2 linked regions of the Stegostoma tigrinum genome follow. The protein of the gene in region 2 purifies or fractionates together with the protein of the main gene of each other region. This does not show direct contact. Links are inferred from orthologs where the notes say so. Each region holds a gene or a part of one and is shown on either strand. Other genes may lie near its edges.

Region 1 (16,728 bases), about 21 Mb from region 2:
CAAGAAGGCAGCTCACTATCATCTTCTCAAGGGCAACGAGGGAGGGGCAAGAAATGTTGCCAAACAGCGAGGCCCATGTCCCATGAATGAATTTTTAAAATGCCAAATGATGCCATTAAAAGGGTCGTTTCCTAAGAAGAGACATGTATCAACCCTGTTTGAAGGACCTGGCAATAAATAGAGGTTCCTCCTTTATGCCTTCGCCAAAAGCAATTAGTCCAGGTCCTCAGATTTGACAAGAGCCCTGTCACTACCACTAAGTACTACTTAGACGGTACAAGTTTAAAATGGAACTCAATATTTTCATCAACATCTCTTGCCCCCTTAATGCTGCTTAAGTGACTACAACTGCACCTGACTTTACATCTTCTAACTAATTTAAACATTTACATTCTGCGTTAAATGCAAATTTGACATTTTTTTTAAGAAGTTGATAAATATAACAGTATACCAACCCAATAATAATGAGGAGAATATATTCCAGTAATAATACATATGTCCTATAAACTACCTGTTGCTGAGGCAAGTATGGATTTCATCTTCTTTATCCCAATGAGAACTGGAATTATGTGCCCCAGCATAATTTGAGTAAGACAGTGGGACAGGCACATCATCTTTTGATATTTTGGTCAAGGTTTTCACCATGTACATTTGCTGAAGTTGTCCATTTTAACTTGATATATTATTAATAAGCCCGATACCTACAGCAACTAACAGTTAGCACACAGCTTCCTGGCTGTCGTGCTCCTGTTAGTGATGCCTTGCTAAAGAGATTGCTTTCTGCGATAGTGTTCAGATAATTTGACAATTGGTGTCCTGTCCTGAATAATCTTTGCCACTCTCTCTGATACTGCAGCTCCCCGTGGAGTTGTTAGCACTGGACACATAATCATGACATGTCATCAATTAATACTATTTCTGAGTGCTGACACCCAAGTGTATGGTGGGTTTTTGATACTTTCCCCTTCCTCTGCAGCAGCACTCTCATCTAGGACAACTGATAGTTATTCTTCACTGCTGCTGTAGACTTTTGGAGTCTACACATCCTGAAATTGGAAGGTTAAATTTGCGCATTACGGAGATTCTGAGTGCACTCTTACTAAAGAAGGTGTCATTGGAATTTAAAATTTGAGTTGTCTGAGAAACAAAAAGCAACTCATTTCTGCTACTTTCTGTAGATTCTGCCCTTCAGATTATGGGAACTTTTTAAACAAATACTTTCTGGGTCTGTATACCCATTAAAGGCTGTCTTTAGTCACTCTCTCAGTCTAAAATTAAATCTTCTGTTTGATGACTCTTTACTCTCTGCTCTTTTTTCTCCAACAGTTAACATTACATGGTGTTTCTTTTCAATGTCATGTCCAGATTTGCTGAACATATTGTTTTCAAGCTCTTGTCTTGTGGTTGTTTCAAATACAAATACATAGTTTGTGTCACTTTGCTGCACTTAGTCCACTCCTCCTGTGTCTGGATTGTTATGGTTTTTATTGTAAAGGCAAGTGATGAGACAGAACCCCTTGTCTGTTATTTGGGCACTGGGCCATGTGCCCATTTAAGTCCTGCCAACTGATTGTAACGGTTTAAGGTTGGATAGGGTTAGGGTACAGACCAGAGACAGAGACCAGCCTGACAAATCAACTACCGACCTTGGCAGTCATGCTAGACTCTGCAACAGTTTGTTCCTAATATAGTTCGTACAATGCAACAGATTAAAGTGCCCTTGCCAAAATATGTAGGAATGGTGGTATAGGCCAGACATTTCTAGCTAAATGCCCTAAGATAAGGGGGTTCAAATGATTTTAAATTAAGTTTAAACATTTTATAAATAAAAAATGTGGTCTCACGAAACTTTTCAATATTTAAAATATTAAAATTTCAGTTTCTACCCAATGAAATATGGACACTGTTTTCCATAAATATAATCTCTACTGAAGTGGAATGGATCAAGTTCGAGTTATATCTGATTAGAGATTTTTAACTTACAGTTTTAGAATTGTATATTTGTGCACCCATCACAAGCCAACCTAATTATCCACAGTTGGGCACAGATATGACAGATACAGTTTAATACTGAGGAGGAGGATGTATGTTTTGACTTGAAGAATGAAGAGAATCAATATAAACTAAAACTTACAATTTCAAAGGGGGTTCATGAATAAAGAATTGAAGATGCAAATATATAAATCTTAAAAGATTGTAAAACAAGTTGAGAAGGCTGTTAAAGAAAATTGCACTATAAACAGAAGCATAAAGTTTTAAAGCAAGAAAGTTAAACTAAACAGTTATAATTCACTGATTAGACACCAACTTCCAAATCTGGGCACTGTGTTTCAGTGAAGTTGTTGAAACCTTGGACAGTGTGCAGAGGAGCTAATGTAGAATATACTAATAGTGAAGGAAATCAGTAATGGAGTGACCAGAGAAGGTGGGGTTGTTCGCTTCACAGCAGAGAGTGATTTAATGGAAGTGCTCAAAATAATTAAGAATGCTGCTAGAATAATTAACTAGAAACTGTTTTCAGCAGTATATAAGTTAAAAACCAGAAGACATGGATTTAACAGAATTGCCAAAAGAAACAGAGGTGAGATGAAGAGTTTTTTTTTCAATGTGGTGTTTATAATGGTCTGGGTTGCAATTCCTGAAGAGATGGTGGAAGTAGATTTAATATTCAAAAGGGCATTGGAAAAGTATCTAAAGGGGGAACATTGTAGAACTAATGGGGAAAAGGTAGGTGGGGGGGATTATTTGACAGCTCTTTCGAAGATTTTCCAAGACACAATTTGTATGATTCTATGATTCCATGACTCAACATATTTCACTTATGGGCATTATAGATTTTCTTTACATTCAAAATATATTTGAGTTCTTGGAATTATTTTCTTAGGACACAATCAACAGAATTTAATGAAGACTCTGGGAGCAGGAAACATGGTGGGTGGGCTGAAATAATCAGGCTGGCGTAGAAATAACACAGTGTGGAGCTGGAGGAACACAGCAGGCCAGGCAGCATCAGAGGTGCAGGTACGTTTAAGGTTTTGGCGTAGAACTCGACTCCATATACATTCCACTATGAAGGAAAACCGGAAGTGAGGCAATCCAGCTCAATGGACTCCAGAGTTTAAAAACCAGGCGGGAAAACACACCGATGCTTCATCGGAGGCTGCGCTGATGATATTACCCAGCACAGTAATGAAATGTCTGTGAAATAACAAACCAGCTCAGTGAGCCAACCAACCTCAACAGCAGGAATAATTGTATTAGAGATAATGGGAACTGCAGATTCTGGAGAATCCAAGATAATAAAGTGTGAAGCTGGATGAACACAGCAGGCTAAGCAGCATCTCAGGAGCACAAAAGCTGATGTTTGGGGCTTAGACCCTCCATCAGAGAGGCCTGAAACGTCAGCTTTTGTACTCCTGAGATGCTGCTTGGCCTGCTGTGTTCATCCAGCTTCACACTTTATTATCAACAGCGGGAATGTTGACATTTCGGTTGGGACACGTCAATTTTCCTGCTCCACTGATGCTGCCTGACCTGCTGTGTTCCTCTAGCTCCATACTGTGTTATCTCTGACTTCAGCATCAGCAGTTCTTACTATCTCAGGCTGGAGTAGAAATTTTGGATTCACAATGGTGGGATAAGAATGAAAAATTAAGCCGGTCGTTTGGGCCTTCATGATCATATAATTGGATGCAGTGAATACTAATTAATACTGAATAAAAGAGACATGCTGTTACATCTTCCAATTGCTCACAGTGTATCAGACAGACTCATAATCAGGCGATCACTTTTAGTCCTGAAAAGTGTCTGGTCTAACTCAAACATTACTGGAGAAGGTAAAGGTGTCTCAAAATTTGAACAATGGGTGAAGTTAGCGGTTTCTTGATGTTACTATGCAGGAGCAGCATACGTGGTACTCTCCAGTAACAGGATTCTGCTGTAGAATCAAAAAGACAACAGCTTCAGAGTCAGCATGAGGTCCTCCAAGTGTCTGGGGCCTCAGTTGTGGCAGTCCCCCTTCATTGCTGGAAGACCTTTGAACTGCATTCATGAGAATGTGACCACGGATCTAAATGTGATGCCCTCTGTGACTTGGCTGGGTGTAACTGAGCAAGTGGAGGGTGCAGCTTACATAGGTGACAGTGGTCAATGAATGCCCTTGTACCCAGATGTGGAATCTTCAGTCTTCAGTGGCAAAGGCGTGGATTGTGTAAACTATAAAGGAGAATCAAAAGAAATAGGTAAAGGTTAATAGAGTCTATGAGCATAGCATAATTCTGCATGTGGTCCTCAGCCAACATCAGATTGGATCCATTATTACTCCTCGTAATTGTCGGTCCAACCTCGCCATCAGCTGAGTGTGGCTTCCCTGTTCCCCAGCAAGCTATATGGCTGAGTGAGGACTGTAAGATTATGCCCTATTTCACTCGGTTTTGCCTTTCCCTTTTGATTATCGATCTGCTCATCCTGCGGGGGGAAAAGGATCTTTACAAATGCAGACTGTCCCCCTTGTCTGCACATAGACCCATCAAGTATACTGGCCTGTTGATGTTCGGTCAATATCAGTTGCTCACTCGAGCAAAGTGGTCACATGTTTTGGCACCAAGGGCCATGTAGCCCAGAGACTCACTTCGAGTTCAGATACCTAGCCTTGCTGTATAAAAAGTACCCATATGACAGATCATCCCAGGCTACTGTTATATTTAACATAAAAACAGTAAACTCAACAGGTCTGGCAGCATCTGTGGAAAGGGGTAAAATTTCAGATCAATTGAATCTTCCTTGGAACACTATTACATTGAGCCTGATTTTGGGGGGACAATTAAAGAAGGAGCCTTTTGCAGCACTGCTTCATGATTTGGTTGTCCCCACAGTTGCTAATCTGCTCTGTGTTTTCTGTCCAGGCTGCCTTTGTCAGGCAGAAAAGTCTCCTGTCTTCATAATTTGGGAAGAGAGGCTCCCATTGGTCCCTAATGGCCTGGAGGAGAATTTGCAAGGAGGCATTACTGTTCTAACATCTTTAATTATGGTTGTAAAGAGCCTAGAGGATGTAGTCATCGTGGGGGGAAGGAGGGTGTTTACTGGGTTATCCCAGGAGAATAACGTTTTAATTAAGGGGGGAATGGTATCTGATTGAGTGAGACTGAGATTGAGAAGATTTACAAAAACCAAAAGATCAAAAATGCAGAATGAACAGAAGTGGAGGTGGAAACTAAGGCCCTGATGTTTTCTAATTGCCCTTGGAGCCTCTTTTATGAACCATACAGAACTGTCACTGGCAATGGGAAATTCCGACCCCTCCACACAATTACACCTATTTCACATGCTTGCCACCTAACATTCCTAAGCTGTCATCTGAATCATGGGCTCTCAACACAAAAGCAGAAGGGGTGACCCTTCTGAAGCCATTGCTGGGAATAGCACATTAGTGACTGGGTTCCGCCAGTGATACCTCAAACAACTTTGTGTTCAGTCTTGACAAGAATGCATTCAGGTCAAGGGCTCACAATTGGAAGTGAAGCATGCCACACCATCTTTGGATTACGTTCTTTGACAGAGTGCCAAGAATGCAACAATTTCAATCTGAGTGAATTGCTGAGTATAATTGAACCTGCTGTGGCCCTGGTTTTGTGAAACTGGCAGTCGGTAAAGTTTCAATTAGTCCATTGTGAGATACCATACACAGCAAATTCCCATTTAGTAAACAGAATTTGACTTTATAAGCATTGCAAATTCTCCATCACTTAGATTTATTTTAGGGGAAGGAAATGGGTAAAATTCATCCTTATTCTGCCATGTTTCCTGTCAGATCTTAATTTGTTTGAGAAAATAACACTTATCCAAGTTACTCTCCAATGGTAGGACTTTTTTTTCCCACAATTTCACCCTTCAGATTAAGCCTCCAGCTTCAGTATTTTATTCCAATCTGCTAATATATAGTAAAATATAACCACTACTTGCTGAAGGATGAAGTTTAACAATTCTTTTCTGGCTATAATGGTCACCACTGACACAGACAGCTTCCTGTATTATATAAATATTGCTGTATAATGATGATGTAAAGATCATCACCATGGTTGACCATGCACAATAATTTCATTTAATAATTGTAAGATCATAGATGATATTCTGGAAAACTAAAGAAAACTGATAGAATTTTTGCTTTCAAAGTGGACATTGCTTGTTGCACCTTCCCTTACTGAAAGCGGTTATGCATTACAATGACCAAAATTGGTTTGTATCATTCATTAAGATAACTGTTTTTAACTATCTTCTTTCTTGTATTAACATCATTGTTTGAGGTGTTTCTGGATTTTAACATGAAGCTTTACATATTAGAGCTTTTAGTCCTGCGTAGATAAATTTAAAACTCTTTCACATTACCACAAAACAGGCCATTCCTACGGCAAGAAGTGAATCTGGGAATGCTCTCTCAACATCGGATGGAAAGGATCATCTAGGTTTACTCAACCTTTTTATATTATTTTATCAGGTGTGGGGATTGCTGACAAGGTCAGCACTAATTGGTTTCTATTTGCTCTGAAGCTCATTCCTTTAAATGTGTTGACAAGGCTGGCTAAATTTCCACTCAGTCTGGTACCTCCCGTAGATGGCGCAACTGAGATTTGACACATGACTCAGAACGTTCTGTTTGTCCAAAAAAAAATTTACTCTGCCTCATTAGATGGCCATAAGACGATAAGACATAGGAGTGGAAGTACGGCCATTCGGCCCATCGAGTCCACTCCACCATTTAATCATGGCTGATGGGCATTTCAACTCTACTTACCCTCACTCTCCCCGTAGCCCTTAATTTCTTGCGAGATCAAGAAATTATCAATCTCTGCCTTGAAGACATTTAACGTCCCGGCCTCCACTGCGCTCTGTGGCGATGAATTCCACAGGCCCACCACTCTCTGGCTGAAGAAATGTCTCCTCATTTCCGTTCCAAATTTACCTCCTCTAATTCTAGGGCTGTGCCCACGGGTCCTAGTCTCCCCGCCTAATGGAAACAACCCCACAGCGTCCACCCTTTCTAAGCCATACATTATCTTGTAAGTTTCTATTAGATCGCCCCTCAACCTTCTAAACTCTAATGAATACAATTCCAGGATCCTCAGCCATTCATTGTATGTTAGGCCTACCTTTCCAGGGATCATCCATGTGAATCTCTGCTGGACACGCTCCAGTGCCAAATCTTATTCAGGATGATGGGAAAAGAAGTCACTGGAGCATATTCCTGGACAGGGTCCCATTCTGGCACACACTATGGGAAACATGTGAAGGCACTGGAGAAAGTGCAGAAAGGATTCATGAGATTGGTACCAGGGATGAGGTACATAAGTAGATTGTTGAGTTTAGGACTACGGGGAAAAGAGAAGGTTGAGAGGAGTTGTAGAGTCATAGATTCATACAGTACAGAAACAGATCCATTGGTCCAACTCACTCACGCCAACCAGACATCGCATCTAACACAGTACCATTTGCCAGCATTTGGCCCATTTCCCTCTAAACCCCTCCTATTTTATACGCATCTAGATGCCTTTTGAATGTTGCAATTGTACCTGTCTCACAAGGCATACAAAACTATGAGAGGTCTGGACTGAGTGGATACAGCAAACTGTTCTCATCGATGCTAGTGATAATAACGACAGGGCACAGACTTGAAGTGATTGGCAAAAGAAGCAACAGGAAAATTAGGAAAAATTTCATGGAGCAAGTGAGTGGGACCTTGGTTACACTGCCTGACAGTGTGGCAGAGACAGGTTCAATCAGGGCAATTAACGAGGAATTGCTTATTAACTGAAAGGGAAGAATGTGCAAGGTGACGGGGAGAAGATAGGGAAATAGCAGACAGGCAGATGTAAAGAGCTGAAAAGCCTCCTTCTGTTTTGCAATCATTCCAAGACTCAGAAGGTATCATATTCAGTACTTGATTCAGGTGGCAGCTGAGGGGCTGCATCTCCCCATTCAGGCAGGGAGTGTAAAAATGCAGCTTTGATGGAAAGTGCACCTGTGAAGACATGGAACTGTTTAGGTGTGCTGTGGCCGAACAGACGCTAACACTCATTTATTCAGATGGATAAATAAAAAGGAGTTTGCATACATTAAAAAAAGAGCTGCTGGGCTCTGATGTGGAATCTCAGGTTGGTGTTTACAGGAGAGGCGGGAGAAATTGTACCGAGAAACACAATTTAACATTTGCATTGCGTGAAAAAAAAGTTGAATTAAAGCTGACGGAGCATTCCCCATCCACGCATGCACTGTCTTGAATTTTGCAGCCCTCTCTGTCCGTACATCCGAAAATGCTGTGGGGGGTGGTTTTACTGCAGTCACCCCGTCGGCGGCTGTAATCTATCGCCTCGGCTGGTGGCTGTGTATCACTTTGTATTCACCGGCAAATCGCTACCCTTGAACCGGAACTCCTCGTGCGGATTGGTTACACTGTACTGTTGTTACTGTGTGTGTGTGTCTGTGCTGGGGGTTAAGTCACCATTTCAGACTCGAACACACACAGCAACAATGATGCGAGGCTCCACCTGAAGCTTGTGGTGTGCGTGTGTGTTTTTGTTGCCATTACCATCTTGGAGGACGTTCAAACCGTGAAGGGCTTGACTTTCATAGTGTCAGCGAGGAAGAAGGAAGAAAGCAGTAATAATGGCTTAGAGTGGACGTTGAAGGAGATGGAGAGGGAAATCAGCTGCTGAGCTTTGAGCAGATCTCCCCTCTGGTCCGTCAGTCTCGGGAGAGAGGGGGAAAACTCGCCTGTCCTTTTCAATGGCTGTGCAGTGCTAATTCTGGCCGGATGAGGGTGTTTCTCTGATCGGACACTGATTTTTTTGCCCTCTCTCTCTCCTTGTTTTAAATATCTGTAATATATTTCATCTCTCGTGTGTTCTCTGTGCAAAATCCTACTTCCTTTGGCACCACCTGAATCCGACCGTTCATTCGATCAAGGAAAAAAAAACATTAATCATACTCTGAGAGAGGGAGAGAGAAAATGGGGAATACCACTTCCTGCTGTGTCTCATCCAGCCCCAAGTTGCGGAGGAACCACGCTCGGCTGGAGACTTACCGCACCGACACCGACATCAGCCGGGAGGACACGGGCTGTAACCTACAGCACATCAGCGACAGGGAGGCGGTGGACGGTATGTGCCCGATGTTGTTGATCTCCCTCCTTCTATACCCGCTCCTCCCCCTTTCCACCCCATCTCCCCCTCCCGCCAACACCATCCTCTCTCCTCACCCCACTCCCATCATCCCCTCCCCTCTCCATCACCCCCTTCACCCCCTCCCCTCTCCATCACCCCCTTCACCCCCTCCCCTCTCCATCACCCCCATCATCCCCTCCCCTCTCCATCACCCCCTTCACCCCCTCCCCTCTCCATCACCCCCTTCACCCCCTCCCCTCTCCATCACCCCCATCATCCCCTCCCCTCTCCATCACCCCCTTCACCAACCCCCCCTTCATCACACCCGTTCCCCACCCCCTCCCTTCATTGCCCCCTCCCTCCAACCCCATCCCCCTCTCCCTCCGTCCTCCCTTCATCCCGCCACACCTCCTCATCCCCATCCCTTCATCAACCCATCCTCCTTTCATCCCCCATACCTTGTCCCCTCCCTTCCCCCAATCCCTTTGTCCCTCCACCCATCGATCCCCCTTCCCCTCATTCCCCCCCATCCCCCATTCCCCCCCATCCCCCATTCCCCCCCATCCCCCATTCCCCCTCATTCCCCCCCATCCCCCATTCCCCCTTCACCCCACCTCCATCCCCCTTCCCTTCACCCAACTTCGTTCCCCCATCCCCCCTCACTTCGTTCTCCCGCGCCCCCGCTTCGTCTCTATCCCTACTCCCTTTGCCCCCATCCCCACTCCCTTTGCCCCCATCCCCACTCCCTTTGCCCCCATCCCCACTCCCTTTTCCCCCATCCCCACTCCCTTTTCCCCCATCCCCACTCCCTTTGCCTGTCCCCCCTCCTTTCGCCCACCCCCTCGTCCCCCCCACCCCCACGTCCCCCCCACCCCCACATCCCCCCCACGTCCCCCCCACCCACCCCCACCCACCCCCACCGTCCCCCGCGTCCCCCACGTCCCCCACGTCCGCCTCGTCCCCCCCCACCCCCTCGTCCCCCCCCCACCCCCTCGTCCCCCCCCACCCCCTCGTCCCCCCCCCCACCCCCTCGTGCCCCCACCCACCCCCCACCCCCCACCCCCACCCCCACCCCCACCCCCACCCCTTCATTCACCCCCACCCCTTCATTCACCCCCACCCCCACCCCCACCCCCACCCCCACCCCCACCCCCACCCCCACCCCCACCCCTTCATTCACCCCCACCCCTTCATTCACCCCCACCCCCATTCCTTCAATCTCCCCCACCCCCATTCCTTCAATCTCCCCCATCCCCATTCCTTCATTCCCCCATCCCCATTCCTTCAAATATTCCCCATGCCCATCCGCATCCCTTTGCCTTCCCCCTCCCTTTGTACCCCATCCCCCACACCTTCGTCCCCCCCACCCCACCCCCACGTCTCCCCCCCCACGTCTCCCCCCCCACGTCTCCCCCCCACGTCTCCCCCCCCCACGTCCCCCCCCGCCCCCACGTCCCCCCCCGCCCCCACGTCCCCCCCCCGCCCCCACGTCCCCCCCCCGCCCCCACGTCCCCCCCCCGCCCCCACGTCCCCCCCCCGCCCCCACGTCCCCCACCCGCCCCCACGTCCCCCCACCCGCCCCCACGTCCCCCCACCCGCCCCCACGTCCCCCACCCGCCCCCACGTCCCCCACCCGCCCCCACGTCCCCCACCCGCCCCCACGTCCCCCACCCGCCCCCACGTCCCCCCCCCGCCCCCACGTCCCCCCCCCGCCCCCACGTCCCCCCCCGCCCCCCACGTCCCCCCCCCGCCCCCACGTCCCCCCTGCCCCCACGTCCCCCCCCGCCCCCACGTCCCCCCTGCCCCCATCCCGTTGTTCCCCCCTACCCCCTCCCCTTTGTTCCCCCCCACCCCCTTTGTTCCCCCCCACCCCCCACCCCCCACCCCCTTTGTTCCCCCCCACCCCCACCCCCCACCCCCCACCCCCTTTGTTCCCCCCCACACCCATCCCCACGCCCCACCCCCTTTGTTCCCCCCCACACCCATCCCCATTCCTTCATTCCCCCATCCCCATTCCTTCATTCCCCCATCCCCATTCCTTCATTCCCCCATCCCCATCCCTTTGCCTTACCCCCCTCCCTTCGTACCCCCCTCCCCCTCCCCCCGTACACCCCTCCCCCTCCCCCGTACACACCTCCCCCCTCCCCCCGTACACACCTCCCCCGCACACCCCTCCCCCCTTCGTACCCCCCCCTTCGTACCCCCCCTTCGTACCCCCACCCCCCCCTTCGTACCCCCACCCCCCCCCTTCGTACCCCCATCCCCCCTCCCTTCTTCCCCCCATCCCCCCTCCTTCTTCCCCCCCTCCCCCCCCTCCCTTCTTCCCCCCCTCCCCCCCCTCCCTCCCCCCCCCCTCTTCCCCCCCTCCCCCCCCTCCCTCCCCCCCCCCCTCCCCCCCCCCCCCCCCCCCCCCCCCCCTCCCCCCCCCCCCCCCTCCCCCCCCCTCCCCCCCCCCCCCCACCCCCCCCCTCCCCCCCCCCCCCCTCCCCCCCCCTCCCTCCCCCCCCTCCCCCCCCCCTCCCCCCCCTCCCTCCCCCCCCCTCCCCCCCCTCCCTCCCCCCCCCCCCTCCCCCCCCCCTCCCCCCCCTCCCTCCCCCCCCCTCCCCCCCCCCTCCCTCCCCCCCCTCCCCCCCCTCCCCCCCCCTCCCTCCCCCCCCTCCCCCCCCCTCCCTCCCCCCCCTCCCCCCCCCTCCCTCCCTCCCTCCCTCCCCCTCCCTCCCCCTCCCTCCCTCCCTCCCTCCCCCTCCCTCCCTCCCTCCCCTCCCTCCCTCCCTCCCTCCCTCCCTCCCTCCCCTCCCTCCCCCCCTCCCTCCTCCCCCCTCCCTCCCTCCCTCCCTCCCCCTCCCTCCCTCCCTCCCTCCCTCCCTCTCCTCCCTCCCTCCCCCTCCCTCCCTCCCTCCCCCTCCCTCCCTCTCCCTCCCTCCCTCCCCCTCCTCCCTCCTCCCTCCCCCTCCCTCCCTCCCTCCCTCCCTCCCCCTCCCTCCCTCCCTCCCTCCCCCTCCCTCCCTCCCTCCCTCCCTCCCTCCCTCCCTCCCTCCCCCTCCCTCCCTCCTCCCTCCCCCTCCCCCCCCCTCCCCCTCCCTCCCCCTCCCCCCCCCTCCCTCCCTCCCCCTCCCCCCCCCTCCCTCCCTCCCCCCTCCCTCCCTCCCCCTCCCCCCCTCCCTCCCTCCCCCTCCCCCCCTCGCCCCCCTCCCCCCCTCCCCCCCTCCCCCCCTCCCCCCCTCGCCCCCTCGCCCCCCTCCCACCCTCCCCCCCTCGCCCCCCTCCCTCCCTTCTTCCCCCCCCTCCCTCCCTCCCCCCCTCCCTCCCTCCCCCTCCCCCCCTCCCTCCCTCCCCCTCCCTCCCTCCCCCTCCCCCCTCGCCCCCCTCGCCCCCCTCCCACCCTCCCCCCCTCGCCCCCCTCCCACCCTCCCCCCCTCCCCCCCCTCCCTCCCTTCTTCCCCCCCCTCCCTCCCTCCCCCCCTCCCTCCCTCCCCCTCCTCCCTCCCTCCCCCTCCCCCCCTCCCTCCCTCCCCCTCCCCCCTCCCTCCCTCCCCCTCCCCCCCTCGCCCCCCTCCCCCCCTCGCCCCCTCGCCCCCTCGCCCCCTCGCCCCCCTCCCACCCTCCCCCCCTCCCCCCCCTCCCTCCTTCTTCCCCCCCCTCCCTCCTTCTTCCCCCCCCTCCCTCCCTTCTTCCCCCCCCCTCCCTCCCTTCTTCCCCCCCCTCCCTCCCTTCTTCCCCCCCCTCCCTCCCTTCTTCCCCCCCCCCTCCCTCCCTTCTTCCCCCCCCCTCCCTCCCTTCTTCCCCCCCCCTCCCTCCCTTCTTCCCCCCCCCTCCCTCCCTTCTTCCCCCCCCCTCCCTCCCTCCTTCCCCCCCCTCCCTCCCTCCTTCCTCCCTCCCTCCCCCCCCTCCCTCCCTCCTCCCCCGCCTCCCTCCCCCCCTCCTCCCCCTCCCTCCCCCTCCCTCCCCCTCCCTCCCTCCCTCCCCCCCTCCCTCCCTCCCTCCCTCCCTCCCTCCCTCCCTCCCTCCCTCCCTTCTTCCCCCCCTCCCTCCCTCCCTTCTTCCCCCCCTCCCTCCCTCCCTTCTTCCCCCCCTCCCTCCCTCCCTTCTTCCCCCCTCCCTCCCTCCCTTCTTCCCCCCTCCCTCCCTCCCTTCTTCCCCCCCTCCCTCCCCCCTCCCTCCCTCCCTCCCTCCTTCCCCCCCTCCCTCCCTCCCTCCTTCTTCCCCCCCCCTCCCTCCTTCCCCCCCCCTCCCTCCTTCCCCCCCCCCCCTCCTTCCCCCCCCCTCCCTCCCTCCCCCCCCCCTCCCACCCTCCTCCCCCCTCCCTCCCTCCCTCCCCTCCCTCCCTCCCTCCCTCCCCCCCCTCCCTCCCTCCCTCCCCCCCTCCCTCCCTCCCTCCCCCCCCTCCTTCCCACCCTCCCCCCCCTCCTTCCCTCCCTCCCCCCCCTCCTTCCCTCCCTCCCCCCCCCTCCTTCCCTCCCTCCCCCCTCCTTCCCTCCCTCCCCCTCCCTTCTTCCCCCGCTCCCCCCTCCCTCTTCCCCGCTCCCCCCTCCCTCTTCCCCCGCTCCCCCCCCCCTCCCCCCTCCCCTCCCCCCCCTTCCCCCCCCACCCCCCCTTCCCCCTCCCCCCCCCTTCCCCCCCCCCTTCCCCCCCCTTCCCCCCCCTTCCCCCCTTCCCCCCCCCCTTCCCCCCCCTCCCCCCCTCCCCCCCCATCCCCCCCCCCACCCCCCCCCCCCCTCCCCCCCCTCCCCCCCCTCCCCCCCCCTCCCCCCCTCCCCCCCCCCCCCCCCCCCCCCCCCTCCCCCCCCTCCCCCCCTCCCCCTCCCCCCCCTTCCCCCCCCCACCCCCCCCTTCCCCTCCCCCCCCTTCCCCCCCCTTCCCCCTCCCCCCCCTTCCCCCCCCCTTCCCCCCCCCTTCCCCCCCCTTCCCCCCCCCTTCCCCCTCCCCCCCCCCCCTTCCCCCTCCCCCCCCCCCTTCCCCCTCCCCCCCTTCCCCCTCCCCCCCCCTCCCCCTCCCCCCCCCTCCCCCCTTCCCCCTCCCCCCCCTTCCCCCCCTTCCCCCCCTTCCCCCCCTTCCCCCTCCCCCCCCTTCCTCCCCCCCTTCCCCCTCCCCCCTTCCCCCTCCCCCCCCTTCCCCCTCCTCCCCCCCCCCCTTCCCCTCCTCCCCCCTTCCCCCCTTCCCCCTCCCCCCCCTTCCCCCTCCCCCCCCTTCCCCCTCCCCCCCTCCCCCCCTTCCCCCTCCCCCCCCCCCCCTTCCCCCTCCCCCCTTCCCCTCCCCCCCCCCCCCTTCCCCCTCCCCCCCCCTTCCCCTCCCCCCCCCTTCCCCCTCCCCCCCCCTTCCCCCTCCCCCCCCCTTCCCCCTCCCTCCCCCCCCCTTCCCCCTCCCCCCCCCTTCCCCTCCCCCCCCTTCCCCCTCCCCCCCCTTCCCCCTCCCCCCCTTCCCCCTCCCCCCCCTTCCCCCTCCCCTCTTCCCCCTCCCCTCCCCCCCCTTCCCCCTCCCCTCTTCCCCCTCCCCCCTCCCCTCTTCCCCTCCCCCCTCCCCTCTTCCCCCTCCCCCCTCCCCTCTTCCCCCTCCCTCTTCCCCCTCCCATCTTCCCCCCCATCCCCCCTCCCATCTTCCCCCCCATCCCCCCTCCCATCTTCCCCCCCATCCCCCCTCCCATCTTCCCCCCCATCCCCCCTCCCATCTTCCCCCCCATCCCCCCTCCCATCTTCCCCCCTCCCATCTTCCCCCCCTCCCATCTTCCCCCCCTCCCATCTTCCCCCCCACCCCCCCCATCCCCCCTCCCCCCCATCCCCCCCCCATCTCCCATCCCCCCTCCCGTCCCCCCTCCCGTCCCCCCTCCCGTCCCCCCCCCCGTCCCCCCCCCCGTCCCCCCTCCCATCCCCCCCCCCATCCCCCCTCCCATCCCCCCCCCCCATCCCCCCTCCCATCCCCCCCCCCATCCCCCCTCCCATCTTCCCCCCCATCCCCCCTCCCATCTTCCCCCCATCCCCCCTCCCATCTTCCCCCCCATTCCCCTTCCCCCCCATTCCCCTTCCCCCCCATCCCCCTTTCTCCCCATCCCCTCTTCTTCCCCCCTCCCCCCTTCTTCCCCCCTCCCCCCTTCTTCCCCCTTCTTCCCCCCTCCCCCCTTCTTCCCCCCCTCCCCCCTTCTTCCCCCCTCCCTCCCTTCTTCCCCCTCCCTCCCTTCTTCCCCCCTCCCTCCCTTCCTCCCCCCTCCCTCCTTCCTCCCCCCTCCCTCCCTTCCTCCCCCACCCCACTTCCCTCCCCCCCCAACCCCTCCCCCCCCACCCTCTCCCCCCCTCTCTCCCCCCTCCCTCCCTCCCCACCCCCCCCTCCCTCCCTCCCCACCCCCCCCTCCCTCCCTCCCTACCCCCCCCCTCCCTCCCTCCCTACCCCCCCCCCTCCTCCCTCCCTACCCCCCCTCCCTCCCTCCCTACCCCCCCCTCCCTCCCTCCCTACCCCCCCCACCCCCTCCCTCCCCACCCCCCCCACCCCCTCCCTCCCCACCCCCCCACCCCCTCCCTCCCTCCCTACCCCCCCACCCCCTCCCTCCCTCCCTACCCCCCACCCCCTCCCTCCCTCCCTACCCCCCCACCCCCTCCCTCCCTCCCTACCCCCCACCCCCTCCCTCCCTACCCCCACCCCCTCCCTCCCTACCCCCCACCCCCTCCCTCCCTACCCCCCACCCCCTCCCTCCCTACCCCCCACCCCCCACCCCCTCCTCCCTACCCCCACCCCCTCCCTTCCCACCCCCCACCCCCTCCCTTCCCCCCCACCCCTCCCTCCCCCCCCACCCCCTCCCTCCCTTCCCCCTCCCCCCTTCCCCCCACCCCCTCCTCCCCTTCCCCCCCTTCCCTCCTCCCCCTCCCCCCCTTCCCTCCTCCCCCTCCCCCCTTTCCCCCCTTCCCCCCTCCCCCTCCCTCCCCCCTCCCCCTCCCTCCCTTCCCCCCTCCCCCTCCCTCCCCCCTCCCTCCCCCCTCCCCCTCCTCCCCCCTCCCCCTCCCTCCCTCCCCCCTCCCCCTCCCTCCCTCCCTCCCCTCCCCTCCCTCCCCTCCCCTCCTCTCCTCCCCGCCCCCCCCCTCCCACCTCCCCCACCCCCCGGTTCCCCCGCCCTCCCCAATCCCCCTCGCTTCCCCTGCCCTTCCTCCCCGCTTCCCCCCCACCCCCCCGAGCCCGTCCCCCCCGCTTGCCCACCACCCCCGCCTTTCCCACCTCCCCCACCCCCTGGTTTGTGGGCAGAACGTGCCTGCGGTCCTGGTTGGGGAGGTGTGTGTGTGTGTGTGTGTCTGTGTGTATATTATGTATATAATATATACACACACAGATATCAGTCCATCTGACTCTTCTGGGTTTTCAACCCGCAAAGCAGTACTGTTCCTCTCACCGTAGGTTCCGACGTTATCAAATCTTGTTTATTTCATTTTTATTGTTAAATAAAATAATTTACATTTCTGCTGCTGCGGTCCTGTGTGGCTGGGTGAAAAGCCAAGAACTTTCGCAGCTGACCGCCACCCTGAAACAAAAAGCCTGCTGGTCTCTCGCTGTCTGACCTGATTTCCTTTTTAAACGGACGTCAGTAAAAAGCCTG
Region 2 (16,510 bases):
TACTTTGTTTCTACTAAAGTCAACCCCCAATAAACCTGGACTTCTTTGTCAACTACAAGTGTCAAACTCAGCCTTGTATCTACTCCAATGATTCAGCCCACACTGCTCACAAAGGTAGTGAATTCCAAACACCAATGGCCCTTAGGAAATAAATTCTTCTTAGTACTCCTACATTAGACAGTTTGTTATTTGGAAGATATACACCCTAGTTCTAGATTCCCCCAAAAAGGGAAAACATTTCAGCAATTATCGTGTCAAGGCTTTTAAGATTTAAAGTATTTCAGTAATATTATCCTCATGTTTTTTCTAAACTCCACTGACTTAGGCTCAAACCACCCAACCTTTAATTACATGATAATTTCCTTTTCCAAAAGGAAGCTCTGAACTGCTTACAATGAAAGTAATTCCCACCTTAAAATGACATACCATGTGTCCAGATGTGGTCTCACCAGTGCCCTGTGCACAGACGTAACAAAAGACTTTTCTACTTTTACACTCTAACCTCTTGCAATCAAGGTCACCATTTCATTTGCCTAATTACTTGCTTTCTCTATATTCTGACCTATTGTGCTTCACATACAAAGGGCACCCAAGTCCTCTGCAGCCTCTATTTGAATAAATATTCTGCTTTTCTACAGTCAAAAGTGGACAACTTCATATTTCCCACAGTCTGCCAAATATTTGCCCACTCATTTTATCTATCCTTTGCAGATGCTCTGGACCCCACACTTGGTTTTCCTGCCCATTATCATATCAGTTAAATTTGAATAAAACTGTTGATCCTTTTATTCTAGTCATTAATATTGATCTTAAATAGTTGAGGCCTCAGCACATAGCACTATGACACCCCATTAGTTGGTCTTCAATTCAAGGGATCCATTTAGCCAACTCCTTTTCCTGTTAGTTGGTTCCCAACATATAATATTTGATACAATATAGTAAACAAGTATATTGTATGTGTATAGACTCTTTACATTTCCTAAAGATCTTTAAGTTGGCCATGAAAATTCATTACAAGTGTGATCTTTTGCTTCTGTAAATGGAGAGCTTGAAGGCAGAAAGGGCACTTATTTGGGCAGGATGGTACCGCACCCACATTTTTGTCATTTTCCCAACTCCACCAGAATAAAGCACCTAGGACAGGAGTGTTGATGGTTGACCTTCCCATCTCGCCAGCTTAAGGACAGCAACCTCTATCACTGGGCAGGACTTCCATCCGCGAGGTCTGTTTTCCAACTGAAGGCCCACTATTGGCCTTGCCAGTGTCTGACTGGCATTGGATTCAAATGGCCTTCCCTGAAAAAGACAGCACAGCTCTCACTGGCTGAGCAAGATTCCATCTACATTTACTAGTTTCCCCTTAGCCACCTACTTTTTACATCCTCAAAAAAAAAATGATAAAAAGAAACAATGTACTAACTGTGCTTGATTGTACAGGGATTATCTAAAAATCCTGACCTGCCCATACCTTGAAACAATAAATGCTCTCTGATCAGATATCAAGTTCATTATGGCACAGTTTCCTGCTTGCCACCTCCTCCTGTCTTGAGTGGAGTTGCCACATTTGCAGTTTTCCAATCCACTCTGATCTTTGCACAACTTAGGGAATCTTGCAGGATTATATTCAAAATGCATCTAGTAGCCTGCAGTTACTTCTAAGACTCTAGACTGCAAGCCATCTGGTTTTTCAGCCTTAAATACAACTGGAATTTCCATTTCATTCTCCCCGTTGTATTTAGGTTCACCAACCACGCACCCCCCCACCCCTCTTCTTTTAATACCAACCTTAGGACGATTTTTACATCTTCTGCCATGAACACTGATACAAAACACTTGTTCAAATCTTCTGTCCTGTCTTTGTTTCCTACCCTCTCCAGTCTCACCCTCCAAAGCCATTTACCTGTTTGTACATTTTTAAACAGTTATTCCTGTCCAACTTTAAATATTTTCCTACCTTTCTCATCATGCTCCAATTCTTTCCCCTCATTACATTTCAAAAACTTTCTCAAATGTTTGGCCTACTATCAAGTCATCATAGCATTGCACACCTTTTATTCTAGTTTGAGCCAATCCTTATCCATCTTAGTTAGCTAATGATTGTAAGGATGCACAATACGGTTCATTTCTGCTCACCAGAATATTGCATGCCTTTATATGGCAGGACCCATCCTCTGCAAGGGGAAAACAGATCAAGACTTTTCATTTAATTCCAAAATTGGCCCAAGTAACTGTTCTTTATGGCAACACGTATAACCAAGCTTAACTAGCTACTCAGCACCCTCCTCACAGAGTATAAATTTTTGCTTTTTGAAATATGGCATTCTTGCATCTCTCCTTATGAGTGCAAGATAAAGCCATTGGTAGCATGGGTGTTTATTGTTTGTTTTCCTGCCTCCCCCCAGAAATGCTTAAATTCTGTATTATCAAAGTAACTAATAGCAAATTCTCTTGAGCAACTTTTTAAAATCTTTTTGTGACCCATATATTGCACAGCACACACAATTTTTCCAATGCTGCTACATAGCAACTCATTTCAGACTCATGGGAATCTCCACTTCAGAGCTGGAGTTTCTACCATGATTTTAGAGAAGAAACATACCTAGAGAGAGAGTGTTCAAAACACGTTTCAGTGGGCCTCTGTGGAACGGACAAAACTGTTGTTCATAGAATATTTTGATTATATCACAGTATTGCAGAACAAGCGATAAAGTAGAGATTATTGAAAAATAAGTGGAACACTATTGTAGCTGTCATGATTTTATTTTTAACATATGATTAATAACTTCCTTCATTATACCAATTGCTTTCCAGTCTATTAAAGACTTTAACTGCAATGTCCTCCATGTACTAATAACCCTTAATTGACAGAAACCATACAAGTATTCCATCCAAAGCATCATTCTATACCGCGAAACCCATTTAAAGACTCTTCCACAACCATCAATACAAAACTAAATACAGCACACTAATCCAAAGAATGCCTGAAGTTTTAAATAGGTCACTCATCTTTTCCAAAGCATATTCAAGATCAAGAGAACTTGAAACCACAGTATTGGTAAGCTCTTCACAGCACCGAGAGGTACTGTTGGCATGGGCCTTTTATTTTAAAAAAATAACACTACCAAATGTTAAAATGACTACAATTTTTTGTTTTAAAAAACATACATTCACTATGGAGGCAATGAACACAAAAAAAAAGAGGTACAGAATTCAAATTCTACAGCCAAATATTCTGCACTCCAACACTGGACATGTGGGCAAAAACACCAATAGGTGAATTTCTTCATGCTGCATTCAATGTTAACATACCATTATAGCTACATTAAAAGCAGGATTTACCACCCCACCCCCTCCAACAATTGTGTTTCTAACAGTCATTTTCAGTGGGAAGTTGCTATAGTCACCAAATACAAGACTGAGGAGTGGGTACATTTTTCATGCTGTCCAGATTTGCATATTTTTCCACGTACTAAACCAAGAACAGCTTTGTTTTGAAGTTTCTTTTCCTCGAGTGCATCACAGATCATCTGTCATGTGAACTAAGAATGTACAGATCTGAAATACCGATTATTATAAATCACATTATTTCTCTCAGGTCCGCTTACCGGAAAAAAAAAAGGAGCCACAACTCACGGCTTTGTTAGAACAAAGGAAGGAATCATTGCTAATCTGTATGTAATGCTGGCTATTACCTCCAAATATTGCACAAGCTTTGAAACATTGCTTGCTTCATACCGATTCTGCAAAAACTAATTATTTGAATGAGTGGACAGATGATGGGGCAGGTGATTGCTGTTTAAAAAGTTTGTAAAGAAAGTAACTTCTTTTTTTAAAAAAATGTGACATACCATACCTACTCTCAATGTGTCCAGTAAAATATGGAGTGAAAAATCAACTGAGCTTACCCAATATTTCTTAAAAACACAAAAGAGATTAAACATTGAGTTATTTCACAATTATAAGCTGAAGAAACTGTAAAAAGAAACAGCTGATGCAACATTCCATTGTCATATAATGACAAATTTAGATTGACAGAAAAGCACTTCGTTCAATGAATTTTTGTGGATTTGCAGCAGAATGCTAAAAAACCTTTTCAGGGCAGCATTTTTTTAAGCCAAGAAGGTAACTTCAAAATTTTAAGTTTTTAAGTGTCATAATAGAAGTCAGTCAAATTCAAATTTGAATTTAATTGACACATGATAAAGTAGGTGATATTTGAATGAGTTTGATCATTTGTAATGTGAAACATCTGCTAATAGAGCAGCAATAAAAATTCCTTGTTAAAAAGGAACATTACAAATTAAGCGTTGTACAGTTTTTGCATCTCAAACCAGTTTGAATTATATCACAAGTGAATGGGGTCATTATTATTTCAGATTGGCAGAAATTATCCTAACAATGCTGCCCTGAATAACCACCTATATATTTTAAAGAAAACAAAACCAAAACAATTTTTTTTGTTTATGTGCACAATACCAGAATGAAACAAATTGAGAAATCCAAAAGAGCTGCCAATTGTATGAATATCAGTAATAGTGATATCTATTTAGATCAAGGTTCAGGGTTATCTAGAGCAGAGAACAAAGAATTCTGCCTCAAAAGAAACATAGCTAGCCTTACAGGTTCCATTAACCGACCAAGGTTACTGATCAATCATCATTACCTTGGAGTACTACAGACCTGCCTGGATCCAGTATCAGATTTTGATTCTGCATACCAGGCATCTCCTGACAAGCTCATCACTCTAGGACTGTAATCACGCCAAAACAGATGCTGTTTATGTATCTTCTTTAACCCTTATCCAGGAGAAAGTCACCAAGTTCTCAGAACAGATAAATATGTTTGAAACTGGTCTCAGTGGTCAGTAAATTCCAGAAATAAACATAAGGGAGAGTGCCATAAACCGCCTTCACAAGGCATGAATACATTAATGCTATCCTCATATCTACAGTTGATGCACTGCATAATTCATTAAATTATGCAAACATAGTATGTTTATGCAATTAAAAAAATTCAAATTAAACCCCATCCTGTATAATCTTTCCTTTCTATGGGAAAGTGCCTTCATTGTGAAATTAGGAGTGGTAAAAATAAGGGAATGTTGCCATAACTTCCATCCTATTCAAGGATATTTTTGCTCTCTCCTGGACATTCTATTGAAAATTGTTGATTCTTTACAATATTTATTCACATTGAGTAAACAAGACGATCTTATTTTAAGAGATGAAGTATATATCTAGATATATTTTGATAATTTACAAAGTTCATTTCACTGTCCAAAGGCATTGCAGTAACAATTCTCTTGTAGACAGGTGAAGTCCCAATATCTCTACCGTAAAACTTTTCAATGAATGAGGATTGGTGGCACAACATCTACACAGAGAGAGCTTTTATTTCAGAAGTGTTGAATCAATTTAACCCTTTGCACTCCCAGGACAGAATGGACAGCTGGACACTTACAGTACACACAGGAAATACCCAGTTTCCCATTTAGCCTTCAAAAATGTCTTGTTTATATCAATCAGCTCACAGTTAATCCTAGTTTCACCCACAAAAGCGATTCTATAAACCATCACTAATACAGGTCTTAGAATCCAGAGCAATGTTATAATTGCAAATCAGACTAGTCCAGAAATGTTAAATCTTTCCAATTCCTTGAATATACTACAAAAAAAATAGGAACTACATTGGTCAATTTGAATGTATTTTCTGAATCACAATGTATTGTATTCAACATGCTCAAAAAAGTAAAACGTGGGGTGGTGCTGAATAACAAAATAAAATCCTCCACGGATCCACTTAACATAGCTTCAGACTGCCAAAAAGAGTTTGATCTAGATTTGAATTCTGGTCACAAGGATAAAGGATAATGTCTTACACAATGTCCCAAAAGAAAACAGTAACTTCTATTCAATACTTCACTGCAAATACTGTACCTAACACATTTAGCTAAACCGTGTATCTTACCTCATCGAAGTTATTGTCGTCTTTCTTCAAGGCTAAAACAAAAAGAGAAACAGAAACATACGGTAAATTAATGCCTAGCTTGCGTGTAACTTCCCAATAATCCAAGTACCTACACTCACTTTATACCCATTACCCACATGGGCAAAGCAGAGCTTTTAGAAAACCTCCGTTCTGATTTTTTTTTAGAAGGAATTCTTCTACGCTTAAGTGTCTTTATAATAACCCAAGCCATTTCATTAACGGTATTGCGGATTATAGTACGCACAAAAGGTTCAGAATATTGGGAGGTTTCTTATGTAGTAGAGTATATCAGCAGCTTGTTTTATGAAGCTAGCACCGCACAGAAGAGAACACTGTGATAACTGCGCCAGCTAGCTTTACCACTGTGAAAGTGTTCATCTTTAAGGGAGAGGAGGAAAAAAAACTAACAGTCAATGGACATATTTTTAAAAACCGAAAGAATGAACACACTTTCCAGAAAGCGAAACTAAAGGCTACATTTCACCAAATAGTTAAGAGATCAAAAACTTCAGTAAGTAATACACTCACCTAAACGACTGAAACTTTCAGACAAAGTTCTTCTCAACTTTTTCATTCTGCCGATTTTCTCAGTCGACTGCTCTGAAATCATGTCACACATCTCCGGCAGAATGATCCAATCTGGTGCCTCGCTCCGAGTCCTCGGTAAAGGTCTGAATGGGGAGTCGAAAATCAAAATAATGGGTTTCCCCTTCCCTCTTTAAAACAAATAGCAGCAAGTGAGAGACGAAGCAGTGGGCTTAAGTTTGAAGGCTTCCCTCCATCCTCCTGTCAAACACAGGAAGTGTTTCACAGCCTCTCGGCGTTCTTTTTCCCAACAAGTTCGAGATTTTCCCTCTCTCTCTCTCGAGAAATCTTGGCACGCCACGAAGACAAAGTATTTCATCCAGATAAGCGGCGCTGGAATCAATTCGTCTGAATTTCGAACAAGGCGGGAGAGGAGGGGAGGGGTGAGAGAAAGAAAGAGCGAAAAGGAAGGTTTGCTCTTTGAGTGATAACCACTGTCAGCTCCGAGCCAACAGTGAACAGGCACTTCAGCCTCTCACAGACTCACGAAGCTGGGCTGTCATTTTCTCCACAAGTCGGAGGCACTCCGGTGCGCCAAAACCCATCCCCTTTCTCTCGATTGGCTCTCTTCCGCAGCCCTTCTCCCAATCTATGGACCGGCAGCACGTCAATCATTCTGCAGCCCGCCCCCTCGAGGATGCAGGCTCCAAGAGTTGGTTGCCACCCAGATATTTCTCTCAATTTTTTTGTGGTTCAACTATTTGGCACAGTGGAGAAACATTGTTCAGCTGAAAACGATAGGGGTTACTACCTAATTAAATTGGAAACGATTTATTTAAAATAGATGTGGAGTGTTTATAATTTAATTAAAAATTGTGTTCAGAATAAACTGTGTAGAAAGCCTCCCAGACCCAAGCACTCGGTTGTAAATCATCTCCCATTTATTTATTTTGGATTAGGGAATGGCCCAATCTCATTAACTTGATGACATCACGGCTATCGACATTCGTGCTTGACTAAAAATTACAGCTATCAGAAAGTAGCCTGCAGCCAGCCTGGTAACGACACAGTAATAACATCCTTAACATAGGACAGATTTAAATTGTCTGCTTACCTAATGATGCTGATGCTCCTCGTAGCTGTGAAAACACAAATAGCAAGAAAACACGCTCCTACACTTTTCCTCCTTGCTCATGCTAACTCTATTAGTTTCCTTTCAAGTTGGCCCGCCCTCCGCCTTGGGCATTTCATCTGACGTTTCAAAACAAATCAAACGATTCCTAACTTAAGTTTATTCGTTTTAACACAGTAGCTACATCAGGTCACATTTTCACTGATAAGGTGCGCAGCTAACGTTTCTTTGTTCAATTACAAGGGGGATGTTGGGGAAAGCATATCTCCGCATACTGACAGCGATATTTTGTTTCGTCTGACTTTTAATTAGTAACTTCCGTGTCTGTTTTATTCGTCTTAGAAAGAGATACATTGATAATATTCAAAGTTGGCGAACTTCAAACTGTTTTTATAAATGTATACCGAAGAAGACGTAACGAGGATGTTTAGTAATTGCATTCTGTTATTTTGGGCCCTCAACCCCCCACCCCCCATCACAGAGCTGATGGCAGGGGAGACTAGGGGAAAGTTCACAAGGGCAACATTTCCTCCAGGCTGCAAATTACTTCATCATCAACATCGTAATTCAATCATAAAGTGGTTAAGTGGGCCACGGAGCATCAAAGCTTTTCAGTTGACATGGATAAGGTTCTCGATCTGTAAGTATCTATGAGGACAGGATTCTGCACATTCTTTTATATCCTGGGGAATCTTGTCATCCTTTGTTATCTGATTCTTCATTCTTGATAAAATGCTAATAAGGTTTTCTTTAATTATACAAACAAAGGCTAATTATCAAATCTGCAATAAATAGGGCATACTAGTAGTCATTTATCAAGGTCATTAATTGAATTTTAAAAATTCAAAATGTTTTCATTATAGAGAGAATCTTTCTGTTTTTTTGGGGCTGTTATCAACATGTACTTCCAGCCAAGTATGAGCATTTGCATCAGGCATGCTTCAATTCAAAATTTTCCCGACAATTATACCATTATGACCCCACATAGTTGACTGTCTCTAAGTTGCATTTGTTTCCAGAGAACATCATGACTATTTGTATACATTTCAGTCTTCAAAGGAATTTCAAATAAAACAGACAACTTTGGCTTTATGTTGTTTTTCTCCCAATATATTTCCTTACCAATCTGTTCAAAGATGTTATTACATGAATCTGGAACAGCTAGATTAGATTCCCTACAGTGTGGAAACAGGCCCTTTGGCCCAACAAGTCCACACTGCCCCTTGAAGCATCCCACCCAGACCCATCCGCCTATAACCCACACACTCCTGAACACCCTGGGCAATTTAGCACAGCCAATCCACCTAACCTGCACATCTTTGGACTGTGGGAGGAAACCGGAGCACCTAGAGGAAACTTACGCAGACACTGGGAGAATGTGCAAACTCCACACAGTCAGTCATCCAAGGTGGGAATTGACCCCGGGTCCCTGGCGCTGTGAGGCTGCAGTGCTAGCCACTGAGCTGCCATGCCACCCAAAGCTAGGCCTTCAACCTGGGTCTCTGGCTCACTGAGATAGAGAGGGATTTAAAAGAGGTCATGTTATTGCTAAAAGACAATATCATAGCTGCATGGAGGGAGGCCATCTTGAGGGCCCATCCAGTGATGCCATATAGGTAGAGCTGAGGAATAGGAAGAGTGCAGTCACTTGGATGGGTTTATACTACAGGCTTCCCAAAAGCCAGTGGGTGATACAGGAACATGGAACAATACAACGCAGAACAGGCCCTTCAGCCCTCGATGTTGTGCCGACCTGTGACCTAATGTAAGCCCATCCCCCTACACTATCCCATCATCATCCATATGCTTATCCAAGGACTGTTTAAATGCCCCTAATGTGGCTGAGTAAACTACATTGGCAGGCAGGGTGTACCACGCCCTTACCACTCTCTGAGTAAAGAACGTGCCTCTGACATCTATCTTAAATCTGTCACCTCTCAATTTGCAGCTGTGCCCCCTCGTACAAGCTGGCATCATCATCCTCGGAAAAAGACTCTCACTGTCCACCCTATCTAATCCTCTGATCATCTTGTATGTCTCTACTAAATCCCCTATTAGCCACCTTCTCTCCAATGAGAACAGACCCAAGTCCCTCAGCCTTTCTTCATAAGGCCTTCACTCCAGACCAGGCAACATCCTGGTAAATCTCCTATGCACCTTTTCCAATGCTTCCACATCCTTCCTGTAATGGGGTGACCAGAACTGCATGCAATATTCCAAGTGAGGCCGCTCTAGCATTTTGTACAGTTGCAGCATGACATCACGGCACTGGAACTCAATCCCTCCACCAATAAAACCTAACACACCGTAAGCCTTCTTAACAGCACTATCAACCTGGGTGGCAACTTTCAGGGATCTATGTACATGGACACCAAGATCCCTCTGCACATCCACACTACCAAGAATCTTTCCATTCACCTGGTATTCTGCCTTCCTGTTATTCTTCCCAAAGTGAAGCACTTCATATTTATCCATATTAAACTCCATTTTCCATCTTTCAGCCCAATTCTACAGTTTATCCAAGTGTCCCTTCAACCTGCAACATTCTTCCACACTGTCCACCACTCTACCAACTTTAGTGTCATCTGCAAACTTTCTAACCAATCCACCTATGCCTGCGTCCAAGTCATTTATAAAAATGACAAATAGCAGTGATCCCAAAACAGATCCTTGAGTCACATCACTCTTAACTGGGCTCCAGGCTGAATATTTTCTATCAACGACCACTCGTTGTCTTCTTACAGAAAGCCAGTTTCTTATCCAAACTGCTAAATCTCCCTCAATCCCATGCCTCCGTATTTTCTCCAGTAGCCTACCATGTGGAACCTTATCAAAGGCTTTACTGAAGTCCATGTACACCACGTCAACTGCCCTACCCTCATCCACATGCTTGGTCACCTTCTCAAAAAACTCAATGAGGTTTGTGAGACACGACCTGCCCTTGACAAATCCGTGCTGACTATATCCAATCAAATTGTTGCTTGATGCAAGATGATAATAAATCCTATCTCTTATAATCCTTTCCAAAACTTTTCCTACAACAGACGTAAGGCTCACTGGTCTATAATTACCTGGGTCATCTCTACTGCCCTTCTTGAACAAGGGCACAACATTTGCAATCCTCCAGTCCTCTGGTACTAAACCTGTAGACAATGAAGACTCAAAGATCAAGGCCAAAGGCTCCACCACCTCCTCCCTATCTTCCCAGAGAATCCTGGGAAAAATCCCATCCAGCCCAGGGGACTTATCCACCTTCATGCCTTCTAGAATTGATAACACCTCCTCCTTACTAACCTCAATCTTTTCAATTCTAGTAACCCATAACTCAGTCTTCTCCTCTACAATATTCTCCCTTTTCTGAGTGAAAAAGATGAGAAATATTTGTTTAGCACCTCTCTGATCTCCACAGGGTCCACACACAACTTCCCACTTCGGTCTTTGACTGGCCCTATTCCTACCCTAGTCATCCTCTTATTTATCACATACTTGTAGAACGGATAAAGTGGACAGATTATGGAAACATGTGAAAACAATAGGGTAGTTGTGATGGGTGATTTTAACTTCCCTTATATTGACTGGGACAAATTTGTTCGGTGCATCAAGGAGGATTTTTGAAACAGTCCCAGTGGGGAAAGAACCGTACCAGTCCTGGTATTGAGGAGTGAGCCAAGCCACATGATCAAAGTTTCAGCGTAGGGGCATTTTGGGAACAGTGACCATAATTCTGTAGGTTTAAAATTACTTATGGATAAGAGTACTACTCAAGCGAAAGTACTCAAATAGTGAAGGCTAATTACCACAATAGTAGGCAGAATGGGGGAATATAGTCAAAACAGTGTGGAACTGGAGGAACATAGTAGGTCTGGCAGCATCAGAGAAGCAGAAGAATCAATGTTTCAGGTTTACACCCTACATCAGGACTGGCGAGGAGGAAGGGAGTGAGGCTAGGGTAAGGGAGGTGGGATGGTGATAGATGGATGCAGGTTGTGGAGATAGGCCATGGGAAGGGTTGGGTGGAAGGCGAGAAAGAAGATAGACTGGTTGTGTCAGGTTAAGGAGGCGAGGATGAGAGGGAGAGTTAGTCAAGGGATGAGGCCGGGGCTGAGGAGATTTCAAAACTGGTGAATTCTATGTTGAGGCTATTGGGCTGTAAGCTCCTGAGGCCAGAATATAAGATGTTGTTCCTCCAGTTTATGTGTAGCATCATTGTGACAGTGGAGGAGGCCCAGGATGGACATGTCACCCAGGGAGTGGGAGGTCAAATTAAAATGGCAATTGGAAGGTGTTGTTGATTATTGCGTACACAGCGCAGGTACTTTCTGAGTTGGTCAATGAGTTTCAGCTTTGTCTCACCGATGTTGAGGAGACCGCATCAGGAGCAACAGATACAGTAGACCAGGCTGGAGGACACATAGGTGAATCCTGTCAGATTTGGAATAACTGTTTGGTGCCTTGGATGGAGGTGAGGGGGGAGGTATAGGGGCAGAAGTCGCACTTCCTGCGGTTGCAGGGAAAAGAGCCACAGGTTTTGGGGTTAGTGGGGAGTTGCAGATGAGAAAGCTGCGGAGAGAGCGCACCTGTGAAAGGCAGAAAGTGGTGCGGAGGGAAACATCTCTTTGGTGGTGGGGTTAGTTTGCAGATGGTAGAAATGGCGGAGGATGATGAGCTGGATTTGGAGGTGGGTGGGGTGGTCTGCTACGAAGAGGCAGGCATAGATCAGACCCATGCTAGTGCCCGTTGCTACCCCTTTAGTTCGTAGGAAGTGGGAGGAGTTAAAGAAAAATTTTTTGAGGATAAGGACAAGTTCTGTTCAGCAAAGGAGAGTATCGGTGGAGGGGAATAGGTTAGGCCTGCAGGAGAGGAAGAAGCGAAGGGCTTTTAGGCCCTCCTCATGGGAGGTAATAGTGCAGATAATGGATATCCATGTTGAAAATGAGGTGTTCGAGGCTGGAGATTTGAAAGTTTTGTAGATGGGGAGTTCCTGGACTGGTGCGGGGAGGGATAAAATGGAGTCGAGGTAAGTGGAGATAAATTCAGCAGGGCAGGAGCAGGCAGAGACTGTGGATTTTAGGAAGGAGGTAGAAATGGGTGTTGCGGGGTTGAGGAACAATGAGGTTGGAGGCTGTGGGTGGGAGGTCTCCTGAAGTAGTGAGGTTATTGATGGTCCAGGAGATGAGGGTTTGGTGATCAGGGGTGAGGTCACAGTCGAGGGCAGAGTACAAGAAAGTGTCCGAGAGTAGGTGCCTGGCCTCGGAGATGTAGAGGTCAGTACACCTTACCACCACTGTGCCTCCTTAGCTGCAGGTTTGATGGTGGGGGTGGGGGTGGAGCAGAGAGCTGCACATTCTGTTGTGGGATGGAGGTTGGAGTGAGTGGGAGGGGTGGAGAGAATTAGACAATTGATTTCACAACGGCAGTTCAGATGAAGACGTCAAGGGAGGTTAAGAGGCTGTGGGTTGGTATCCAGAAGATGGGGTTTACTGGAAGCAGGAGTATGGGTTGTTAGAGGGAGGGTTAGACGCCTGATCAAAGAAATAGGTGCAGAGGTGGTGGAAACAGCACGGAGGAGGAGGCAACAGAAAAGCACTCCAGCACCTAGACGTTTTGCTATCTTTGATAATGGGAACTGCAGATGCTGGAGAATCCAAGATACCAAAGTGGATTTGGATGAATACAGCAGGCCAAGTAGCATCTCAGGGGCATAAAAGCTTCTCCCACTTCATTGATAACTGTATCGGCGCTGCCTCTTGCTCCCCAGAGGAGCTCGAACAGTTCATCCACTTCACCAACACCTTCCACCCCAACCTCAAGTTCACCCGGGCCATCTCCAACACATCCCTCACCTTCCTGGACCTCTCAGTCTCCATCTCAGGCAACCAGCTTGTAACTGATGTCCATTTCAAGCCCACCGACTCCCACAGCTACCTAGAATACACCTCCTCCCACCCACCCTCCTGCAAAAATTCCATCCCCTATTCCCAATTCCTCTGCCTCCGCCGCGTCTGCTCCCAGGATGAGGCATTCCACTCCCGCACATCCCAGATGTCCAAGTTCTTCAAGGACCGCAACTTTACCTCCGCAGTGGTCGAGAACGCCCTTGACTGCGTCTCCCACATTTCCCGCAACACATCCCTCACACCCAGCCCCTGCCACAACCGCCCCCAGAGGATCCCTGCCATTCTCACATACCACCCCACCAACCTCCGGATACAACGCATCATCCTCCGACACTTCCGCCATCTACAATCCGACCCCACCACCCAAGACATTTTTCCATCCCCACCCTTGTCTGCCTTCCGGAGAGACCACCCTCTCCGCAAATCCCTTGTCCGCTCCACGGTCCCCTCCAACCCCACCACACCCGGCACCTTCCCCTGCAACCGCAGGAAGTGCTAAACTTGCCCCCACACCTCCTCCCTCACCCCTATCCCAGGCCCCACGATGACCTTCCATAATAAGCAGATGTTCACCTGCACATCTGCCAATGAGGTATATTGTATCCATTGTACCCGGTGTGGCTTCCTCTACATTGGGCAAACCAAGCTGAGGCTTGGGGACCTCTTTGCAGAACACCTCCGCTCGGTTCGCAACAAACAACTGCACCTCCCAGTCGCGAACCATTTCAACTCCCCCTCCCATTCCTCAGACGACATGTCCATCATGGGCATTCTGCAGTGCCACAATGATGCCACCCGAAGGTTGCAAGAACAGCGATTCATATTCCACTTGGGAACCCTGAAGCCCAATGGAATCAATGTGGGCTTCGCAAGCTTCAAAATTTCCCCTTCCCCCAGTGCATCCCAAAACCAGCCCAGTTCTTCCCCTCCCCCCACTGCATCAGTAAACCAGCCCAGCTTGTTCCCTCACCCCACTGCATCCTAAAACTAGCCCAGCCTGTCTCCACTTCCCTAGCCTGTTCACCCTCTCACCCATCCCTTCCTCCCACCTCAAGCCGCATCTCCATTTCCTACCTACTAACCTCATCCCGCCTCCTTGACCTGTCCGTCTTCCCTTGACTGACCTATCCCCTCCCTACCTCCTCACCTATACTCTCCTCTCTACCTATCTTCTTTTCTCTCCATCTTCGGTCCGCCTCCCCCTCTGCCCTATTTATTCCAGTTCCCTCTCCCAATCCCCCTCTCTGATGAAGGATCTAGGCCCAAAACATCAGCTTTTGTACTCCTGAGATGCTGCTTGGCCTGCTGTGTTCATCCAGCTCCACACTTTGTCATCTATTCCAGCCTCTGCAGTTCTTGCTATCGCCATTGGGGAATATGAATTGGGGTGGCCACTTGAGCATCAGTCCACATCTGTCATATGGGAATCTTTTCAAGGCCAGTTGATTCTAGTTCAGGACTTGCAATGTTCCTGTGAAAATGAAAAAAAAGGATGGCAAAATTTGGAAATTTTTGTTGACAAGAGAAATTGAGATCTTAATCAAAAAGACAACGGAAGCATATATAAGATTTAGGAAACAAAAGAAAAACCGAGGTCTCAAAGAATACAAAGATAACAGGAAAGAACTCAAACAAGGAGTTAAGAGGAGCGATGAAACGTCCTTGGTAAGTAGAATTAAATTAATAATGTGTGAATAGGCTGGAAATAGAGGTTTACGGACTGCATAGAAGCAGAGATAATGGGAACTGCAGATGCTGGAGAATCCAAGATAATAAAGTGTGAAGCTGGATGAACACAGCAGGCCAAGCAGAATCTCAGGAGCACAAAAGCTGACGTTTCGGGCCTAGACCCTTCATCAGAGAGGGGGATGGGGTGAGGGTTCTGGAATAAATAGGGAGAGAGGGGGAGGCGGTCTGAAGATGGAGAGAAAAGAAGATAGGTGGAGAGGAGAGTATAGGTGGGGAGGTAGGGAGGGGATAGGTCAGTCCAGGGAAGACGGACAGGTCAAGGAGGTGGGATGAGGTTAGTAGGTAGGAAATGGAGGTGCGGCTTGAGGTGGGAGGAAGGGATGGGTGAGAGGAAGAACAGGTTAGGGAGGCAGAGATAGGCTGGGCTGGTTTTGGGATGCAGTGGGGGGAGGGGATGAACTGGGCTGGTTGTGTGATGCAGTGAGGGGAGGGGACGAACTGGGCCAACAGAACCCTGCCCACGGCCAACGCCAAGGGAACCCCGCCCACGGCCGACGCTGACGGAACCCTGCCCATAGTCGACCACCTCATCGCTCCGCCCACAACCTCCACAGCCAGCAACCCCAGAGGAGACAGCCACACTGAGCCCTGCCGTATCTTCACCATCCCCCCAGACCTCCCACTGACTAAGGACGAACGTTCATTCCTAAGCAAGGGGCTCACCTTTGTACCCCTACAACCACACATCAACGAATACCAGTCACGTTTGGACATAGACCAGTTTTTCCGTCGCCTTCGCCTCCACACTTACTTCTTCAACCGGGAGCCTAACCCTCCCCTTCCACTGACCCCTTCACCCGCTTCCAACACAAGTCCTCCTCCTGGACACCACCCCCTTGGCCTCCTCTCCTCCCTCGACCTCTTCATCTCCACCTGCAGTCGAGACATTAACCGCCTCAACCTCTCCACCCCTCTCACCCACTCCAACCTCTCCCTGCAGAACGGGCAGCCCTCCGCTCCAACCCCAACCTCACCATCAAACCCGCAGACAAGGGTGGCACAGTGGTAGCATGGCGCACTGACCTCTACATCGCCGAGGCCAAACGCCAACTCTCCGACACCACCTCCTACCGCCCCCTTGATCATGACCCCATCCCCGAGCACTAAACCATCATCTCCAACACCATTCATGACCTCATCACCTCAGGTGACCTGCCACCCACAGCCTCCAACCTCAATATTCCTCAACCCTGCACGGCCCGTTTCTATCTCCTTCCCA

The links.
Region 1: the proteins of cdk14 (region 2) and ccny purify together in Homo sapiens (affinity purification with western blotting; 3 studies listed by BioGRID and IntAct, with this or other methods). This does not show direct contact. The link is inferred for Stegostoma tigrinum from reciprocal best matches to the Homo sapiens genes CDK14 and CCNY.

Annotation. Positions count from the first base shown.
Region 1 is NC_081355.1:130,755,732-130,772,459, forward strand, and holds the start of ccny (cyclin-Y), read left to right. Parts: upstream 1-8,361; 5' UTR 8,362-9,001; coding exon 9,002-9,152; intron 9,153-10,846; coding exon of another isoform or gene 10,847-10,890; intron 10,891-11,470; coding exon of another isoform or gene 11,471-11,679; intron 11,680-13,858; coding exon of another isoform or gene 13,859-14,550; intron 14,551-16,728. UniProt on the Homo sapiens protein: Positive regulatory subunit of the cyclin-dependent kinases CDK14/PFTK1 and CDK16.
Region 2 is NC_081355.1:110,135,796-110,152,305, forward strand, and holds the start of cdk14 (cyclin-dependent kinase 14), read right to left. Parts: upstream 7,087-16,510; 5' UTR 6,608-7,086; coding exon 6,517-6,607; intron 6,304-6,516; exon of another isoform or gene 6,233-6,303; intron 6,168-6,232; exon of another isoform or gene 6,087-6,167; intron 6,000-6,086; coding exon 5,968-5,999; intron 1-5,967. UniProt on the Homo sapiens protein: Serine/threonine-protein kinase involved in the control of the eukaryotic cell cycle, whose activity is controlled by an associated cyclin.